3 linked regions of the Diceros bicornis minor genome follow. The protein of the gene in region 3 purifies or fractionates together with the protein of the main gene of each other region. This does not show direct contact. Links are inferred from orthologs where the notes say so. Each region holds a gene or a part of one and is shown on either strand. Other genes may lie near its edges.

Region 1 (7,502 bases), on a different chromosome or scaffold from region 3:
TCTCCTCCTCCAGCATGGACAGGAACCTGTGGGGAGGGTACAGTCTGTCTCACAACTCTGTCCTCCAGCCAAGGGAGCAGCCTGGGCCAGACACCAGAGGGATTGGAGGTGGGTCAAAGAGACAGACCCTGCTCTCGGGGAACTGGGAACCTAAAAACGGAGACAGCCTCTCTGCCTTCTGACTTGGGGGAGGCACAGGCCCCCCCGCCTCCTGGGAGCCCCTAGTCGAAGAGGACAGGACAATCCAGGACAGAGATCAGAGGACCAGTGTGCCACGTGTACAGCACAGGGACACAGGGTCTGAACTGATGCTGTCCTGTGCTGTGTGGCCAGGCAGGGCACCAAGTCACCCTGGGCCTCAGTATCAAAATGGGGCTCAGAGTCCACCCCTCCTGCCACCTCATATTCCTACCTAGGGCAGCACTGGAGGCCCTGGATTAGTCAATAAAGTCTTCCTGAACTGGGCAGCTATGAGCCAGGTTTAAAATGAAAGGAAAGTGTGGCAGAACAGAGGAAAATCTTACAGAAAGGACTAGAACAGGGGCGGAAATCGGTTTCACCTCAAGTGTAAGCTCTGGTTTCTTGGAGTGCTGTGGTGGGAAGGATTCTGAGGCTGTGTCCAGGCCCCGTGGGAAACAATTAGTAACGTCTACCTGGGGTGTGGGCAGGGATAGTGTTAGCACTCGGGCCATGTACCTGCCATCCCCAGACTAGTACACGCAAAGGCAAATGCTAGCAAGGTGCGTCTGGGCCATGGGCAAGTCTGCCAGGTAGATGCCCAGATCCCAGAAGGCTCATGGAGGGAGAGGAGGGACCAATCCAGGAAGCCTTCCTGGAAAAAAGGGGACAACAGGGAGGATGTGAACTTGGGGCAAAACCCAAATAGGCCAGAATGAGCCTTACTTGGGGAAGTGGGTGAGGATGAGGGTCCTCTTCTCGGGCACCAGCTTGTCTTTCTCCACCCGGAACTTCTCCAGCAGCTGCCGCCGGGTAACAGTGAAGATGGAGCGGAGAAGGCTTCGCCCAAAGACGTGAGTGGTCTCGTAGCGGGGGAGGCTGTCGCAACTCTGGGGCACATGGCAGTAACAGAGCCATCTGCAGGGAGTGGGGGGGTGGTAAGTGAGCGTGGAAACCACTGAACCCAGGTTGGGCCTACAAGCCTCCCCCATGCTGTCCCTGGCTGGGCCTACCTGGTATAATTGACCTTGTAGGTAGCCACGTCCTCGGCCTGAGACCTCTGCCGAAATTGGGCAGGCGTCTCGAGCTTCCAGTAATTAAGGCAGAGCAGGAACATCTTTGAGAGCTCGAACATCGTCTGCCTCTCCCGGGGAGCCAGATGACTAAACTTGTACTGCACGAAGTTCAGCACACCCTGAGAAGGGGTGGGCGGGGACAAAACCAGGAAGGAGGGGTGAACAGCCAGCAGCACTTCTGATCCAAAAATAGGTGCTTCCTGAGGGCAGGCGCCAGGCTCTCCTCTCACTCTGGGGCTCTCTGTGAAGAGAAACTGTGTCCCCTCCCCACCCCCATGCCCACTCTGAGGTTGGTACAAAACGTCCTCCCTTCCCTGAACCTCTCCCCTGTTCTCAGCTTGAGGAGGATGGAGAACAAGGGCTTCCCACACTTCCAAGATGCCCCCAATTCTCTCACCACCTTCCTCATCCCACCTGCTCAATATTAGGCTTCTCAAATGGGGGGCTTCCCAAGGACCCCTCCACCACGGGTCGGGTCATCTGCAGGATGCATTTCCGCAAGAGCTGGAGGAAGAGGAAAAGGGAGGAGCGTAGGTAAGCAGAGATCAGAGCCGCAGACCCCACAGCCTCACCTCCTTCCCTCACTCACTCAGAGGAAGCTCACCTTGAAGAGGTAGAAATAGACCTGTTTAGTGTCCGTGTCCTCCTCCTTGTGAACAGACATGAACAGATTCTCCACGTCCACCACCATCCCCAGCAGCCGGTTAATCTCATCCTCTGACACATTCTCCAGGTGGGAGACATGGTCAGCTGCAAGAAGGACAGACCGCAGCATTGGGAAGAACGAACAGAAGAGACCAACAGGGCTTCCTGCCCCCCTTCATCACCAGCCAAGATTCACCTTCACTCCCTCCAACCAGTGTGACCAGCAACGAGACTGACTGCTCCTTTGTCAGCCCTTGGGTGGCCCCTCGTGTCTTCTGGGCTGGCAGATTTCCTTTCTTCTCCCATAGGGCATGCACCCTCCCAACCCAATCCCTGCTTAGGAAGCATCTTTGGTTTTTCAGAGGAGAAGCTCTGTGGCACTTAAAGTCATCCTGCCCAAGCAGGCCCCAGCACCTGCCCACCCTCCCCAGCTCCAAGGGCACTACCTGCCTTACCCAAGGGGTGCTCACAGCTGCGGCACAGCTCGCTCAGGTTGGCAGCGGGCTGCTGCAGGTCCATGCGAGGTGCAGTGGGGGGCTTGGGGTTTTTCCAACCATTACACTTGCAGGTTTCATTGGCCTGGAGGCAGAAGGATCAGTCAATAACTCTGTATCCCGGGACGAGGAGCCGCTCCCTAGCCAGAGCTTTGCCCCAATTCCCACCCGGGCCCTAGGATGCCCCAAGCCCCGCCCCCTCTCACCCCAGGCCCCGCCCCCACCTTGCAAGCCGAGAAGACCCCTAGCTTCTCAAGCTTCTTGGCGCGCGGCAGCCCCCGGACTTGCGCCTTCCTCTGGCTGGCGCGCTGCTGCTGGCTCAGGCCAGGTCGAGCCGGATCACCCCCGCTCCCGGTCCCCCCACTTCCTACCCCGGGCCCCCCCGTCCCTGTGCTCCCAGCTGGGGCTGCAGCTGGGGCAGGGGCTGGTGCCGGAGTGGGAGCCGGAGTTGGGGCCGAAGCCGGGCTGGGGGCAGGAGTCGGAGTTGGGGCAGGGGCTGGAGACTGAAGGGGACGGGGCTGCACGGCCGGAGCCGGGGTCGAGGCCTGGGAAGGTTCCGCCATGGCCTCCCCCGAAGCTGAGCGCGGCGCGGCGCAGCGCGGCGCTCCCAGCCCTAGGGCCGCATGGGCAACCGGCGCACAGTGCGCAGGCGTCACTGCTCCGGAGCATGACGGGAGTTGTAGTCTTCCACCGCCGCTCTCTTCGCCTCCGGCTTCCAGACTTTTCTGTCCTGTTTTTCGGTCCAAGACAACCAAGTGAGTCCCGAGCCAGCACCCCAGCTTGACCCTTTGTCAATTCTAATCTCTCTTGAAGGCTTCCGGGAGAGTCCGGATTACTGTCTCCCTGGGGACAAGGAGAAGCATCCCAGAAAACAGGCTTCTGTTTGAGAGAATCGTGGGCTCTGCCCACCTCCCAAGCCCGAGGGTGGAAGTACAGGCCAGGGGACTGAGGTCGCACTGGCTCCCGTCATGTCTCCCTCCCACTCCCACCCGGCCGTGTCCCACATGTCCCCAGACACAGAATTGCAGCTACGGTGGAGATTAAGTAGCAACAGTTCTTTCTTGACCTGTGAAGTAGTTACACGGGTGTTCTGTTTGCAATAATTCAACTGTACCCTTCTGTGTGCTTTTTTGTATGTACATTACATTTCAGCAAAAAGAGTTTATTGTAAAAGCTCTGAGTGCCAGAGGCATGGCCATGGTCAGAGGGAAGGCTACTGAGTTGGGGAAGAGGTAGAGACAGAGGAGGGCAGAAGCCTTTCCCTGCGTATGGGAACGGCTCTCCCACACTGGGCACCTCGAGGGCAGGGCCCGTCTTCATCTCTGCGGTCCCAGAGCCCAGCCCCAAGCCTGCCACAGTAGGCCCAGAGTCGGATGAATGAAGGAAACGAGGAAGATGCATTCACTTCCCCATCCCCATGTGTCACAGGACCGTGCATGGTCAGAGAAAGGCAGGACGTTCCGAGAATGGATGACTCCGCCGTCACATTCGGATGGTTCTGTTCAGGGGACAATCCTTCTTGCCCCTAGGCCTGATTCTTGGCAGAGCAAGAGCCGGGAGGCTCAATCTTATCTCCGCTCTGTGCTGGTGACCGCTCCAGGGTCGGGCTCACGCACGTCCAGCCTCGTTTAGTCGGTCCAGTAGGGTCACAGCCCAGGGCCGCCTGCGCCCTCTGACGGAGGTGGAGAAAGGCCCGAGAAAGGGGCAGGATCCAGGATAAAAGCAGCAACGGGGGCGGCAGGGCGGCTGACAACCTGACCCGTGTAGGTAGGACGTGCATAGCTGACCCCAAACCGCAGATGCGAACCTCGCCGGAAGCGAAGGGAGCGCGGCTGAACAGAGCGGAGCCGCGCGGGGTAGCGCGGAGCGGAAGGGGACATGCGCGGGCCCGCGTGAGGACCCTCCTCTTCGGGTGTCCGCGCCCCTGCCCGAGTGACGAGCGCTACACTCGGGGCCTCGCGCCCTTGGACAGCAGTTGCTCACTTGGATGCAACGGGTCGGTAGCGGTCTCCCCAACGGGAGCCGGGTGGCATCCCGGTGTCCCAGCGTGGCCCTCGCCGAACAGAACCAAGTGGCCACGCTGCCGGTGCGGCTGCTGGGGGACGATGTGGCAGCTGTGCGGGACGATGTCTGTGTGGAGGATGGCTTCCAGATGAAGGTGGATGCCAGAGGCTTCACCCCCGAGGAGCTGGTGGTGCAAGTGGACGGCAGATGCTTGATGGTGACGGGCCAGCGGCAACTGGAGGGCTGCAGCCCAGATGGCTATAGCTACCGCATGGCGCAGCAGGTGCACCGGCAAGTGCAGCTCCCACCGGACCTGGATCCCACCGCCATGACCTGCTGCCTGACCCCCTCTGGCCAGCTGCGCTTCCGAGGCCAGCGCCCAGTGCTGCCTTCCCCTGAAGCCCGAACAGGACCGTCCCCGAGGCTCAGGAGCCGCACCTCTAACAAGGATTCCAACCTAGCCTGACCCAGTAAACAACCGTAGTGTGCAGCCTAGCCTTAGTGTCCGTAGTCTTTTCTCCGTGGTGGGGTCAGAGGTGGCGGTATAACAAAGGTAGAGGGAGGCCAAATGGAGGGCCCAGGGAGGCAGGAAAGGCAAGAGGTGGTGGTCCACCAAGAATCAGGCCTCTCTGGCCCTAGGAGAAGCTGGGAGGGACAGTGTTGGCCTACTCAGCTCAGCTCACTGCCTGGACCAAATAGCCCTTGGCAGCTGAGAGCAGCAGCTCCACCAGGGAGCAGCAGAGGGCCAGGAAGGTCCAAGCATCACCTGGCTCCAGAACCAGCAGAGGGCCCTGAGAGACCAGGGACCAGATGACTGGACCTGGTGTGAGGGTGCTGTCTTGGGCTTCTGACGAGTTCAAGGTTCCAGAGGCCATCGGTGTTCCTTCCTCTTCAGGGAGGAGGGTGAGAGGACCCAGCCCCTCATGGGTATGGTACAGACTAACCAAAAACCCCCAAAGATGTTGTTTATTTCTAGTGTTTCAGAGACCAACTATTTTCAAATATAAACTGCACATCACCCCAATATAACCTGCAGGGGTTGGGGAGAGGCAAATGTAAGACTTGCAACTTCAAACTGGGTGAGATTCAGGCCCAGGTCACTCTTACCTCTGCTCCCACCCAGTTACAGCTGACAATAGTAAGGGCCTCTTTCTCTTGGTTACCATGACCACCAGCATCCCCTCACTGGTGGGGGGGGGGCTTTTGTTTAATAGGATTCAATAGTTCATTCTGCATTAACTTCAAGTAAGCTAGAGAGGATATGGTCTGATAAACTCCACCAGAGAAAGACAAGGAAGACAAGCGGGAGGTCGATCGATCGGCTGACTATATTGACAAGATACTGATTGGTTACATGTTGAAGAAAACATACAATACAAAATACAGAAAAAGTTGGTTCCATCCCCTCCCACTCCCCCCCTTACCCACCCACCCCCAAATACTCATCATCGTGATTTTGTCAGAACAGGGCTCAGAGCCAGAGGTCAGGGCGACCAAGGACGGGGGGGGGGGGGGTTGTGGGCAATGGGTTCATGGCTGTCACAATAACGCTGTGGTAATGCTGTGGTTTCTCTCCCGGCTCTGAGTCAGGGGGTGAGGGGGGGCCGCAGCCTGATGACAGCCAACTCAGGGAAGAGCTGCCTCTCCCTTCTCTAGCCTCAGCGCCTGCCCCACCGCCCAGAACCAGCCCACTCCAAACACAGTAAGGATATGGATGCTCTTGCTGAGTCTGCTGATCAGCAAGAGGGAAAGAAGGGCAACTGCTCCAGCCCCCACCTCCCCATATACAAGGGTGGGGGACAGGGGTACGTGGCTACTACCAGCAAAGGAAGAGTGGGAGAGCAGTAGAAAGGGCAGGAAGTGGGAAGAGCAGAAGATCATATATATTAAAAAAGTGACTTAAGACTTAAAATTGAATTAGTATTTGTACAGAAAGGTGCAGGTGGAATAACTCACTCCGGCCTATGATCAAAATTATACGGAGAAATCATGGTGGACCCCTCCCCCTGCCCCCCCAGTGGTGGCCCGAGTCGTTAAGTGCGATTGGTTAGATTGGTTCCAGTCGGGTCGTTGAGGCGGAGGAGGTGGGGGCAATGGGCAGGCAAGGGGGGCTCAGTTGCTGCAGCACTGGCTCCGGCTGGCTGGGTTGTTCTCCTGGAGGTCCACTCCTCGGTTCCGGCCTGGAGCACCAGCTGCATTTTGGGGCTCATTCTTGGGGAGCTTCTTAGCTGTTTGGGAGAGGAGGGAAAAATGCATTTGTGGGGGTACCCAGATACTCTCTCCCAAGTCCACACGAGGAGAATCTGGCCTTTACCACCCAACCAGTGATGACTAACATACTGAGGGCTTCGCTTCTAGGTGCCAGGTGCATTCTGAGTGTTTTGGGAGACTGAGACAAAGAGAGGTTAAATAACTTCTCCAGGAGCAGAGTTAGTAAGTGGTAGAGCGAGGATGGAACCCAAGCAAGAAGAGTCCCGAGCCAAATGAGCTAAAAGAATCCTAAGAAGTGGGCAGGGGGAGGGTGATGTGGGGCTTTCGGTGGGTGGTAAGCTAAAGGGTCAGGAAGTGACATGTTGAGACTTTGGCTCAGGCTTTAGAAACATCTGGGGGAATTATCTGCATCTGGAAGTCAGATAAAGAAGAAAACAATTTTACCAGAATATTAAAATGGTGAAAGATCTGTTGGTGAAGGGACCCCATAGACCTCCTACAGAACAGCAGATAAGGGCCGGCCCCGTGGCTTAGCGGTTAAGTGCGCACACTCCGCTACTGGCGGCCCGGGTTCCAATCCCGAGCGCGCACCGACGCACTGCTTCTCCGGCCATGCTGAGGCCACATCCCACATACAGCAACTAGAAGGATGTGCAACTATGACATACAACTATCTACCGGGGCTTCGGGGAAAAAAAAGGAGGAGGATTGGCAATACATGTTAGCTCAGAGCCGGTCTTCCTCAGCAAAAAAAAGAGGAGGATTAGCATGGATGTTAGCTCAGAGCTGATCTTCCTCACACAAAAAAAAAGAACATCAGATAAGCAGTATGCCCCTGGTGGGGGGAGGGGAGGAGAGGCACCTTACCTATTGCCATGAAAATTTCATTCACGTT
Region 2 (7,149 bases), on a different chromosome or scaffold from region 3:
ATTTTCAGTTAAAAGTTTGTACCTAGTAAACTCAATTAAATAAACACAGTTTCGTTTCAATATTATTGATAACAAAGGCCACTATAATCTTACATATTAAACTTTAAATTTAGTGATTTCTTCGAGATTTCGGCAATGGTTAGTGCAGATAAGTAAGACATATTTGCATACTCAAGATTTTGGATGGTTAGTGCAGATAAGTAAGAGTTATATTTGCGTACTGAAGGACTAGTTTGCCAACAAATAGAAAATCATCTGGAAATTATGTTATTATGACCCTTAAAACATAATTTGGAATCGGTAATAATGAATACCATTTCAACATTATAAAAGTTTATTTTTTAAAATCCTTTTTAAGTGATAAATGTGGGTTAATTATCTAAGAATATAGCTTTTGTGTCCTTGCTAATCAGTATTTCTGAGATGTATATTATAGCCTAGACTAAAATTTAATTCCACAAAAGCTTGATAGCATTTCTTTACAGAAAATGAAACATTTAAAAATAATAGTTAAACTCAACAACAAACAACCCAATTGAAAAATGGGCAAAGGACTTGAATAGACTTGGATGTCTCCAAAGAAATACAAACAGCCAATGAGCACATGAAAAGACACTCACTATGGCTAATCAGCAGGAAAATGCAAATCAAAATCACAATGAGATACCACTTCATACCTATAAGGATGACTCTCATCAAAAAAACAGAAAACTAGTGTTGGCTAGGATATGGGGAAATTGGAACCCTGTGCATTACTGATGGGAATGTAAAATGGTGCAGCTGCTGTGGAAACAGTATGGCAGTTCCTCAAAAAATTAAACAGAATTGCCATATGATCCAGCAATTCCATTTTAAAATGACCACATTATTTATATATGCATATATATGTATTTTTATATATATGTACATACACTCACATATGTGTGTGTTTTTCCTAGGTAACTGTAAGGACTATAAATTTTCCAAGGAAAAGTAAAGTGAATCCAGGTTTATATATCATTGAATTGAAATTTCTCTCTCCTCCAAAATTAGTGAGAGGCCTTTGAGGGCCTGTCTGACTCTTAACTCCAGCAACTCTATCGTTTATTTCAAGTGAGAGGAAAATAGGAGCACTGAGAAATATTTTATATTCTTTGAAGTTGTTCAGTTTAGATTTTTTCCTTCAATCTGCATATAAACCCCAGGCTGTGCTCTGTGCTTTTCAACCAACATCAGTTATAAACACTGTTCTTTTCAGATTCATTGCTATTTTGAAGTACTCTTTTTAAAATGCTTGATGTGAGATATCTTAACAGGAGAGAAAGAACCTGCTGGATTGTTCTTTGAAAATCTTAAAGAGTAAGTTCACCAAGGATGCTAATAAAGTCTATTTTAAAAACTCCATTGTGTAAGTGGTCATAGCTAAATTGGCTTCTCTGCACCATGTTATTTATAGGTATTTGCTTTATATGCTCTACTCACCAGTACCTTTGGAATTCTGGTAATAAGAATGTCCAGCTGATCTGTTAAAAAAAGGATTAAATAATATGTAATAATTGACAAGTTTATAAGCAGTAAAGAAAGTATTTTAAATGAAAAAAGGCAGTATTTCATATCCTTTTTACTTTTCATGTTTCCATCAGACAGAATGTCTTGCAAATTTTCTCTTTTAATTCTGGTTGTATCCTAGTGGCTCCAGGCTTTTTCAAAGTGAGTTAACTGAGATTTTTACTCTACTAGAAAGGATTGACTTTAAGCCAGATTTGGTCTTACTTTTATAGTCTCCTAATCTAATTCCTATGTTAAGCTCAATAAAGTAGTCTGGGCTTCTGTGCTATCCATGATATTTTTTTTGCTCTCTTTATTTTTAATAAAGTAACTTGGGTATGGAAAAGACTATCTTGTTCTTTATTGCATGTAATTAAAGTGTACTGGAACTGATAAGTTGGTCTGGAATGTCTCTAATTTTGTACAAGTTTTTTTTTTTCTTTTCTCAACTTAAGACAAAACACCCTTCCCTCCCTCTTCTTTCAATTTATTCAATGACCCAAAGTTCATTGATCTCTCGACATACTGGGATCCAGCACTTCACCAAGCACCGTGATGAACAGAAAAGAAACACAAGACCCCATCCCATCTTTAAAAGGTCAATCCGCCAGATACATATCAGCAGGAGCCATGACTGTGGGCTGAATTTAGAGAGGAACACCTGGCAACTCTAGATTTGGGGAATAACTGATGGAAGGGATGAGGAGGTAATGCCTTCAGCAACTAATCGTCTTCAGCATCCAGGAAATAATAGTGGACACCTGCTCAAAATGAAACGGATTTATGAAGGAAGGAATTTCTGTGGGAAGAAAATGTCAAGATCAAGGTGCCTCTAATATTCATAATCACTTGTCTCATTGGCGATTATGAATCCCGTTGACATAAAGGTGGCTAATGTCACATACAGGGAACTGAATTATTGACTTGGAAGCCCTCGGTTGAGCCGGAGGAATCTGTCCCCGTTGTCCCCCTACCCGCCTTTATGCAGAGATCCTGTGGCAAGACGGCAATTTTTCCAGTAGGTTTCGCAGCGCCCCCTCGAGGCAGAAAGACGTACGCAGGCGATTGTCGCAGTCCCTGCATTTAGTCATTGCACCAAACCCTCCTCCTAAGCTTCCCTCAGAAGCCCTTCCCCTAAACAGTGAGTCGGCTTCCATATTTCCCATCCCAGCCACCAAAAAGGTTCTCTCCTCCTCTCACTTCCGTGCACTGGGGAGCCAGCTCCCACTCCCTCCTCTACAGGGGGATCTCGACCCTGGGCTGGTCGCCGTCCTCCCTAACCCCTCAGTCTCACCCGCCGCCGCCACCCACAGTCCTGGCCCCGCAGTCTCACCCGCCGCCGCCACCCACGGTCCTGGCCACTGCGGGCGGCTCTGCGGAAGAGCTGCACTCCGTCCAGTCGGACACCGCACCCTGGCCGGGCATCTCCTCCCGGGTGCCAGGCCCGCGAGCTGTGTGCGGGAGCAGCTTTCCCCTTTCCCCTCCCCCGTCAGCACGCGTGCGTCAGGCCGGGCGATATTGGGGGTGAGAGGCGGATGCCGGATTCGAGCCCCTTCCGATGCGGTCCGGACACTGCCCGAATAGCTTCGGGAGAGCGGGGAGGGCAGATCCACGATCTTGGAGTTAAATTGGGGGAGGGGCGGGGGTTCTTTAGTTGATTGCGCGTTTGCACGTTTGCATCTTTTTGTGGAAGGGACGTGTCACGAGAAGGAAATATACATGCCCTCTAAAACAAGAAGTGACTTCCACCTCAGTATTCCAGACCCTCAGCAAATTTGCAAACCTCGAGTTCCATCATACAGGTCAAACGTCAGTACGCAAACCAAGGTCGAAAGCACCCGGCGCAGGGATGCTAATTGTTGTCGGTTATCCGTTATCACCAAGGCAACCCGGCTCCGCCTGTATCCCAACCGCAGATTTCCGCCAGCTACTTCTGCGCACGCGCAAACACTCCCCCCTCTGCCGGACGGCGCGTTTCACATGGAATTTGGCCTTCGGGACGCGCCGTAATCAGAGGTGTGGCGGAACAGAAGACGCAAAAGGAGCTTGGATTGCGATTGGTTCGCACGTCGTGTTCCCGGAACTCAGTGGGCGCCGCGCGAAGGCTGGAGGGAGCGTGGTGGTCAGACTGTTGGTGCTGTGGGACGGGAGGCGCCGGGAACCCCGGAAGCCGGCATGCCTCGATATGCGCAGCTGGTCATGGGTCCCGCGGGCAGCGGGAAGGTGAGGATTTGGCGGGAGAAGGAGAGAAAAGTCGGAGTTCGCGGGAGGCAAGGAGGTTCGGGTCCTGAGGGAGGGACCGGCGGGTGTGTGTATTGGGGACCCTGAGACCCTGAGCAGGCCGCCTCTGCAGCCTGGGCTTCAGTGTCCTTGTTGTTGTTGTTTTGAAAAGAGACTAATGATAGTTGCTAATATTGTATACTTATGCCCCAGATAGTGCGGTAAACGTCTCATTTATTTCCACAACAACTCAGTGAGATAAGTCTTATTCCCATTTTACAGATAAGGAAAATGAGACATAGAAAAGTTAAGTTCTTTGTCCAAGATCACACAACTAGTAAGGGACGGCTGGAATTTGAATCTGGTTTTATCTATCTCCAGAATCTGGCCCTGTCTCCCTCCCAAGAGGTTCAAGTGGCATCTCGTTAATCACTGTTTCTCAGAGCTTGAGACATGGACTTCTGGTATTTGAGGCGATTTTAGGAGGTACATGGGCCTGACATTAATGAGCATTGAATCATACATTGAGAAAGTTGCTCCCTTTTTAATTTTCTTTCAGTTTGCATTGAGGTGAAATTGTCAGTTTGATGTTAGTGTATCTTTTTTTGTTTTAAGATTTTATTTATTTATTTTTACCCCCCCAAAGCCCCAGTAGATAGTTGTATGTCATAGCTGCACATCCTTCTAGTTGCTGTATGTGGGACCCCGCCTCAGCATGGCCGGAGAAGCGGTGCGTCGGTGCGCGAACCCCGGGCCGCCAGCAGCGGAGCGCGCGCACTTAACCACTAAGCCACGGGGCTCTCCCTTATGTTGGTGTATCTTTAACACTTCTTTAATCCCCAAGTGTTTTCAGAGAGCAGATCTTAGACTCAGCTTTTGACAGGCAATTGTATTTAGCTTGAATGAAAAGAGTTATAAAGTTGTATTTAATTTTATGGTTACCTTCATGTTATGATAAATATAACTGGTTTTCTGTTTATGATAGACATACAGTTTTTTCTTGTAAACAAGTATTAAGGGAATAATATTAGGGACATTCAAATATGGTAGAAATGGTGAACGTATTAGTCAAATAACAGGAGTGTGGGAAACACCCGAGTCTGTGGAGGTGTTGTGTGGCTTAAATCTTTAAATTAACACATCGTTCTGAGGTTTGTCCTCAGTCTGGGTGTAGGAGTTATACATGTGACTATGATATGGCTCTTGCCTACCCAGACCTATAGTCTATCTGGAAATACAGATAAATGACTTGTCAGTTAACATACAGTGTGATGCATGGAGAGGGCCTCCTAGGCAGAGAGAACAGTATGTGTAAAGTCACTGAGGAGAAAGTGTGATAGAGGTTATTTCTATATTCTGGACTGCTTTTTGGACTGATTGTGTTAGGTAAGTATCTTTCTATAAATTTTTGGTGCTTATGATCAGAAATACTCATTGAGCATGTTCTTTGTGCCAAGCACTGTTCTAGGCCGTTGGGGATTGTGTTATTGAATAAAAGACACACACGCAAATCTCTGCCCTTATGGAGTTTATATTCAAACATTAAGTCAGTCGATTATAAATCATATTAAGTCAGTCGATTATAAATCATTATCAAGCATTTATTATGTATCAGGTACTGTGCTAGTTAGTCCCTGGACTTATAAAACTGCGTAAGACACATCCCAGCCTTTATTTTTTTTTTTTTTTAATTTTTATTTATTTTTTCCCCCAAAGCCCCAGTAGATAGTTGTATGTCATAGTTGCACATCCTTCTAGTTGCTGTATGTGGGACGCGGCCCCAGCATGGCCAGAGAAGCGGTGCCTCGGTGCGAGCCCTGGATCCGAACCGTGGGCCGCCAGCAGCGGAGCACGAGCACTTAACCGCTAAGCCACAGGGCCGGCCCGACACATCCCAGCCTTTAAGTAGAGGTTGGGAGAGACAGACAAGTAGCCTAGAGATTTTTAACGTAGTGTGGTAATGACTACATGAGGGATAAAGAATTCTGTAAACCAAAAGTTACAAATTGATAGCCCACCTCCATGCTATTTATTGACGTCAATGTTCTCTCATCATGGAATGCTCTTCCCCTGGTTTGGCAAGCGCATTCCCATCCCTTGGCTCAAATATCGTCTCCTCAGAGAAATCGTCTCTGACCACCCTACCTAAAGCCTTGTTTGGACTGTTCACGTCCTAGTGGAGACACTATGTGTTAGTTGCTGCACTGTGTAACCAGAAATGCTCCCTTTAAATTCCGCTCATTGCACGTTAGAGCAGGAAGGAGTCTTAGTGATCATGGAGGTCATCCTAGTTAGAGATGAGAAAATCGAGGGGCAGAGTGGAGAAGCAGCTTCTCCCAAATTACCCTTGAGTCCAAGCCAGTTCTGCAGCCCAGTCAGGTGTCCTGATTCCCAGCGCAATGCCTTTGCCCTTTTCAGACAGCTTTTTAGTCGATGAACACATAATTTTGGCCTTAGTAGACACTGCCCAGGGGGTGTAGAGAGTCCTTCTGGGGGTGCAGGCAGTAGCACTGCACTGCCTGTTGCTCTGACTCCTCATGCCTTGTGACATTGCAGAGCACCTACTGTGCCACCATGGTCCAGCACTGTGAAGCCCTCAATCGGTCTGTCCAGGTTGTGAACCTAGATCCTGCAGCAGAACACTTCAACTACCCCGTGATGGCTGGTGAGTTCTGAGCAGAGCCTTCCTCCTCCTTCAGGAAAAATAAGGGTCTGGGGACGCAGAGAGTGCTGGCTGCTCAGCACAGAAGCTAAAAATCAATTATTACAGTCTGGTCCCCTGTTTTCATGGTGAACAGCATGAGGCTGGGTATCATTTGGTGACATCCACTCGTGATGATGTATGTGTCAGTATCCTTTCTTGGTCTTTGATGTAAGAATTAAAAGTGAATAGACTCCTCCCTCACCACCCTTCCCTTCTGTGCCTTTCAGGCTTAGTCCTGCTGTGGTGAATTGGGTATACTGCTGATCATACTATTAGTGAGCAGCCTAAGTGCTTTGCTTTTTTAAATTCTTTTAATGTATTCATTCACATGTCTGTCGAACACTTACTTTATGCCAGACACCAGGGTTATAGCAGAGAACAAGACAGATACTATCCCTGCCTTCACAGACCTTTTAGCAGGGGAGATAAGCAATAAGCAAAATGATAAACCTATTACAGATTGGGATAAGGACTGCAAATAATCTGATGAGAAGGAATAACTGGGGGAGGTTGATTTACGTGGGGTAGTCAGGGACACTGTCTCTGAGGAGGGGATATTTGGGCTTAGACCTGAAGATGGTAATGTACTCACCAAGCTGAGGAAAGACTTTCCAAGATGAGGGAACATTAAGGTCAATAAATAGCCAAGAGATGGGAAAAGGTTTGGTATATTCCAGAAAAAGCAAAGATGTTGATGA
Region 3 (5,794 bases):
TAATCACATAGAGAGAGAGAAGGTATTCTTTCATAAAATAAGTATACACACATATATATAGTCTACATGTATCTATAAAGACTAATAGAAACATACACGAATGTATACAGTTTATTTGTATATTCACGTGGTGTGGACACATATGTGTCTATACGCACATAGAAGCTACATATGTGTTATAGATACAGGACAGCTGCAGAGGGCAGAGACGTACAATGTATTTCTTACTAGGAAGGAAGATTAAAAAGTGAAAATCCCTGCACTCGACCACGCAATACAAGGTCACCATAGACCCGGACCACCATCCCGAAGCCCCTGCAGCTGCTCAGCCTTTTCAGGACAAATGAAATCCAGAAAAAGAATGGTTCGCGGTGTTGGGCCGGCTGGTGCAGAGACACCACGGGAAGAGGGCCTGCCCCACGGCCCTGGGCACCACAGCCCCCACCCAGCACCTCCCCTGGGACCGCAGCCCTTCTCGGCCAGGGTGGACAAGGACCCTCCTGAGGGAGGATGAAGAGCACCCCCGGCCCCAGAACACAGGGTCCCACAGAACCCCCCTGCACCCCTGCTGTGCATTCTGGGGGACCCCCGGCAGGGCTGTCAGCAGAGCGCTCTCCCACGTCCCCCTCCTCAGACAACCAGGGGCGTCAGAGCTGAGAGTGAGGGGTGCAGATCCAGGGGGGCAGAGGGCTAGAGGCCCAGGCCGGGCAGAGTAGGGTGAGGAGAGGAGGGCGGGGCCAAGGGAACGTCCAGACCACTCTCACCCCTGCCGTCAGCACTGGGAGACCCCAGGCCATGGCGTCCGGATGTGACGTCCTCTGGCGTCCGCCTCCGAGGTCTGAGGGAGCCGAGGGCCTCGTGGTGGGAGGCCGGATCCGGGGCGGCAGAGGGAAGGAGCCCAGGCCCGGCCAGGTGTCCAGGTAGCCCCGGGAGGGAGGACTCCTGGCCCCACGGCGTCCAGGTCTGCTCCTGCCATCAGCCCTGAGGGACCCTGGGGGAAGGGGAGGGGGCAGGGTGGTCAGGCAGAGTTCCCTGCCCCCACCTCGTCCTCAGAGGAGCCTGCTGGGGAGTCCTGGGTCTGCGGGGAGTGGCCTCAGGGGGCAGAGGCCGGGGCCCAGGCCCTGCTGGGAGCTCAGGAGAGGAGCAGAGGGAGGGCCGAGGAGCCCCAGGCAATCCCTGTCAGCCCCTGCCATCAGCCCTGGGCGTCCGCGTGCTTAGTGGCCTGAGGTGACCTCCACAGACTTCCCCCAGGGCTCTCAGGCCAGTGAGGGCCTCGGATCCACAGAGGGAGGATCCCAGGACCTTCCAGGGCTCAAGGGGAGGACCCTGAGGGAGGACAGAGGGGGCCCCACAGAAACACGGCCCTGCAGGCAGCCCCGGGAGGCGCCAGGGCGCCATGAGCACAGGCCGCATTTCCGACTTCCGCATCCGGGACTGAGAGAGACCGGGGACTTGGTCAAGGGAGCAGGGTCTGAGGGGGGCAGAGGGGATGGCCCAGGGCCTGCTGGAAGTCAGGGGGAGATGCTGAGGGAGGCCTGAGGGACCCTGGACCCCAGGACAAACAGGGATCCTGTGGCCCTGTGCTGGTCTGGGGAGGCCCCAGGGCAGGATGACCGGAGGAGGCATTTGCTGCCTTCTGCCTCGGGGGTTTTCAGGAGGTGAGGAATGTGGCTTCAGGTCAGCAGAGAGTGGAGTCCCTAGACCCCCAGGGAGGACTGAGTAGACCCCCAGACCAGGCATAGGCGACCCCAACAGAAATCTGACCCGTGGTCAGTCCCTGGAGGCCAGGCAGGATGTCAGGAGAGTGGCCTGTCCACTTCCTCCTCGGGGTCTCAGCGGGATGGTGGCCTTGGCCTGCAGGACGCATCCTCAGGTTAGCAGAAGGGATGGTTGTAGGCCTGGCCAGGAGTAAGTATGAATACCTTGAGGACACTGAGGGGACTCCCTCCACAGCCAGAGGAGGACCTCACTGAAATCAGCCCTGCCCCAAGTCACCCCTGCAGACCCCCGGCAGGGGTGGCCGCAGGTGGTGCATCCTCACTCACCTCTGCCTCGGGCTCTCTGAGAGGTGAGGCCTTGTTCTGAGGGACGGTGTCAGGTGAGCAGAGGCAGCCACATTTGGTCAGCAGAGGAAGGAGTCCCAGAATCTGTCAGGACTCAAGACAAGACCCTTTGGGAGGAACAGAGGGCATGGAGGTTCCCCCCACCCCAATAGAGAAGGAAACTTACAGAGGCCAGCTTCCCCTGTTCTCAGCCCCAGGGAGGCCCCGGACAAGGATGGCTGGATGTACCCTGCTCTGACTTCTGCCACGTGGTTGGGGATGGGGCATCTCAGGGAGGTGAGGCCTTGGTCTGAGCGGGGACATCAGGTCAGCAGAGGGAGGAGTCCCAGGATCTGTCAGGTGTCAAGGTGAGGACCCTTCATGAGGGCTGAAAATACCCCCTCACCTCAGAAAAGAAAGGCCGGCACAGAGTCCTGCTGTCCCCTGTTCTCAACACTGGAAGGAACAGTTGGCGGTGGTCCTCAATGGCATGCTCACTTCTACCATGGGTGGCAAGGTGGGGAGTCCTCAGGGAGGAGAGGTGTTGCTCAGAGGGAGATGTCAGCTATCCAGGTGGGGGGCCGGGAAGAAGGGCAGGCCCTGGCAGGAGAAAAGACGAATAACCTACAGGAGGTCTGAGGGAACCCCCACCCAGGACAGAAGGGCTGGTCCCCTCTGCCAGCCTTTTGTGATCCTGGTGGGGGATGTGAGGGGTGAGGGGTTGGCGTGGATGTGGTGCCTCCTCCCGTTTCTCTCAGAGCCCTCAGGCAGGTGAGGACCTTGGTCTGAGAGGACGACGTCAGGTCATCCGAGGAAGCACATCTGGTCAGCTGAGAGAAGAGTCCCAGTTCTCGCCAGGAGTCAAGGTGAGGCCCCCGAGGGAGCAGTGAGTGTACCCCAATCCCCAGGACAAAGAGGGGGCCCCTCAGAAATCTGGCCTGCCCCTAATGTCAGCCCTGGAAACCCCCCAGCAGCGCCTGTCTGCCTGAGCCTGTCCTCATTTCCAGATCCGTGGTCTCAGGAAAGGGAGGGCCTTGGTCTGAGGCTCTGGAATCGGGTCAGCTGAGGCAGGATCCCAGGCCCTGGCAGGGGTCACGGTGAGGACTGAGGGGACCCCCACCCACACAGTCAGCAGGATGCATGGAGCCCAGGCCTCCTCTACCCTTCTGTCTGCCATGGGGAGACCCGGGATCAGGGGGTGGATTGATTCCCCCTCACTTCCTCTTCCTGTGTCTTCAGGAGATGAGGCCTTTGCCTAAGGAGGGCGGCCTCAGGTCAACAGAGGGAATTGTCCCAGGCCCTGAGGGTGTCAAGGTGAAGATTGAGCAGACCACCCATCCCAGGACACATGGAACCCACAGAGTTTGGCCACCCCTTATTGTCCCTTGGTGCTTCCTGTTAGCCCCTGGGCAGGTGTGGCCTGATGTGGGGCCCCTCACTTCCTTCTGTTCAGTCTCAGGGGTGTGTGGTGGTGTTCTGAGAGTTTTGCCTCAGGGCAGCAGAGGGGTGGGGCCCAGGGGCTGCCAGGGGAATGGTGAGGACCCTGCATGAGCACGGAGTGGACCACCCACTCTAGAACAGTGGGGACCTCACAGAGTCCAGCCCGCCACTCCTGTCAGCACTGGGGGCCCAGGGCTCTGCTTGCAGTCTGCACCCTCAGGTGCCCCCTCGTTTCCTCTTACAGGGGCTCCAGGAACCCGCAGGTGAAGCCCTTGGTCTGAGGCTCGTGACCTCAGGTCGCAGAGCAGAGGAGGCCCAGGCAGCGCCAGGAGTCAAGGTGAGGTACACACCCTGAACGTGGTCCCAGGGGCTACCCCATGCCAGAACCATGGAGACCTCGCAGCGCCCGAGTCCACCCCACCCCACCGTCGTCCCCAGAACCTCGGGCTGTGCTGGGTGCACCCTGAGGAGCCGTCTCACTTCCTCCTTCAGGTTCTTAGGGCACAGGCCGCCCAGGAGGACAGAGCCCTGCGAAGCCGAGAGCACCCCTAAAGAGGGGGCCTGTAAGTCGCCTTTGTCAGAGCCGCCAAAGGGTGCATCTCTCAGCCGAGGCTGCTCACTCTCCCTGTCTCCCCCAGGCCCGTCCGTCCCCATCGGTCAACTGCCCACGCTCCTGCCGGCTGCCCTGTCACGAGTCATCATGCCTCGTGCTCCAAAGCGACGGCGCTTCATGCTTGAGGAAGGCCTTCAGTCCCAAAGTGAGACACAGAACCTCGTGGGTGCACTGGTGCCTGTGGTTGTGGAAGAAGATGCTTCTTCATCCTCCTCCACCTGCTCCTCCTCTTTTCCTTCCTCTTTCCCCTCCTCCTCTTCCTCTTGCAATCCTCTGATCTCAAGCACTCCGGAGGAGGTTTATGATGTTGCCCGGACCCCGAGTCCTCCCCAGAGCCCTCAGAGTGCCTGCCTCTCCCCCGCTGCCATGGCCTCCACTCCACTGAGCCAGTCTGAAAGCGATGGCTCCAGCAGCCAAGAAGAGGAGGGTCCGAGCACCTCACAGGCCCTGCCAGAAACTGAGTCCTTTCCCAGAAACTTGCTTGATGACAAGGTGGCTGATCTGGTGGAGTTCCTGCTTCTCAAGTATCGCACAAAGGAGCCGACCACAAAGGCGGAAATGCTGAATCTGGTCATCAGAGAATACCAGGACCACTTCCCTGTGATCTTCAGCCAAGCCTCTGAGTGCATGCAGCTGGTCTTTGGCGTTGACGTGAAGGAAGTGGACCCCAGCGACCACTCCTATGTCCTGGTCACCACCCTGGGCCTCACCTACGATGGCATGCTGAGCGGTGAGCAGAGCATGCCCAAGACTGGCATTCTGATACTTATCCTGAGCATAATCTTCGTGGAGGGTGACTGCGCCCCTGAGGAGGACGTCTGGGAAGCGCTGAGTGTCATGGGGGTGTATGCCGGGATGGAGCACTTCATCTATGGGGAGCCCAGGGAGCTCCTCACCAAAGTTTGGGTGCAAGAACAGTACCTGGAGTACCGGCAGGTGCCCAACAGCGATCCTCCATGCTACGAGTTCCTGTGGGGTCCCAGGGCCCACGCTGAAACCAGCAAGATGAGTCTCCTGGAGTTTTTGGCCGGTGTCACTGGGAGTGACCCCAGATCCTTCCCAGTGTGGTACGAGGAAGCTTTGAGAGATCAGGAAGAGAGAGCCCAGGCCAGAATTGCCAGCACGGATAGTGCTACTGCCACAGCCAGTGCCAGTTGTAGTACCGTGCCCAGTAGCTTCTCTTTCCATGAGTGAGGTCTAAGGCATAGTCTTCCCTTTGTGTTTTAAGAGGACAGTCAATGATCTAAGCACTGGAGGGCCAGGCTGGGGCTGAGGGCATCATAGAGCGTAACATCTTTGTGTTCCTGTTCCATAGGGGGGACTTTGAAATGTATCTTTTTCTATTTTTTGTATTTTAAATTGTTGTTACTTTTAGTATAAAGTTTATTAGCTTCCGAATCTAAGTTTGTGAATGACGTTGGTCACACATTTATTGCTGTTTATTCAGTTTAAAAGAAAGTTTTGCTATTTTGTAAAAAAGAAAGGAGGAGGGGAACCTTCCATTTTATTTAGTCTGAAACAAGACAACTTGGCATTGGAATAGGAATTTCCTTGGAAATGCGAAAGAACTTAGCAGTAAAATAGAGAAGAAATTTAAACGGCAATTTTTGAATTCTATTATCATTTTTAGTCTATCATTCTGTAAAATGAAAAGGTAGATACCTTGATTTTCTCAGCTTATTCAAGAATGTAGAAGAAA

What was found. Proteins that work in one complex are often made in the same cells at the same time.
Region 1: the proteins of melanoma-associated antigen 10-like (region 3) and KAT2A purify together in Homo sapiens (affinity purification with mass spectrometry; 3 studies listed by BioGRID and IntAct, counting the BioPlex papers as one, with this or other methods). This does not show direct contact. The link is inferred for Diceros bicornis minor from reciprocal best matches to the Homo sapiens genes MAGEA10 and KAT2A.
Region 2: the proteins of melanoma-associated antigen 10-like (region 3) and FAM216A purify together in Homo sapiens (affinity purification with mass spectrometry; 3 studies listed by BioGRID and IntAct, counting the BioPlex papers as one, with this or other methods). This does not show direct contact. The link is inferred for Diceros bicornis minor from reciprocal best matches to the Homo sapiens genes MAGEA10 and FAM216A.

Annotation. Positions count from the first base shown.
Region 1 is NC_080757.1:41,309,334-41,316,835, forward strand, and holds the start of KAT2A (histone acetyltransferase KAT2A), read right to left. Parts: upstream 3,010-7,502; 5' UTR 2,956-3,009; coding exon 2,617-2,955; intron 2,478-2,616; coding exon 2,354-2,477; intron 2,004-2,353; coding exon 1,858-2,003; intron 1,758-1,857; coding exon 1,668-1,757; intron 1,373-1,667; coding exon 1,191-1,372; intron 1,096-1,190; coding exon 904-1,095; intron 27-903; coding exon 1-26. Other genes in the region: HSPB9 (heat shock protein beta-9), read left to right, coding at 4,380-4,862; RAB5C (ras-related protein Rab-5C), read right to left, coding at 6,509-6,624, 7,475-7,502. UniProt on the Homo sapiens protein: Protein lysine acyltransferase that can act as a acetyltransferase, glutaryltransferase, succinyltransferase or malonyltransferase, depending on the context.
Region 2 is NC_080774.1:8,983,357-8,990,505, reverse strand, and holds the start of FAM216A (protein FAM216A), read right to left. Parts: upstream 3,010-7,149; 5' UTR 2,953-3,009; coding exon 2,861-2,952; intron 1,503-2,860; coding exon 1,462-1,502; intron 1-1,461. Other genes in the region: GPN3 (GPN-loop GTPase 3), read left to right, coding at 3,703-3,750, 6,304-6,412.
Region 3 is NC_080781.1:136,909,529-136,915,322, forward strand, and holds melanoma-associated antigen 10-like, read left to right. Parts: upstream 1-4,182; coding exon 4,183-5,289; 3' UTR 5,290-5,292; downstream 5,293-5,794. UniProt on the Homo sapiens protein: Not known, though may play a role in embryonal development and tumor transformation or aspects of tumor progression.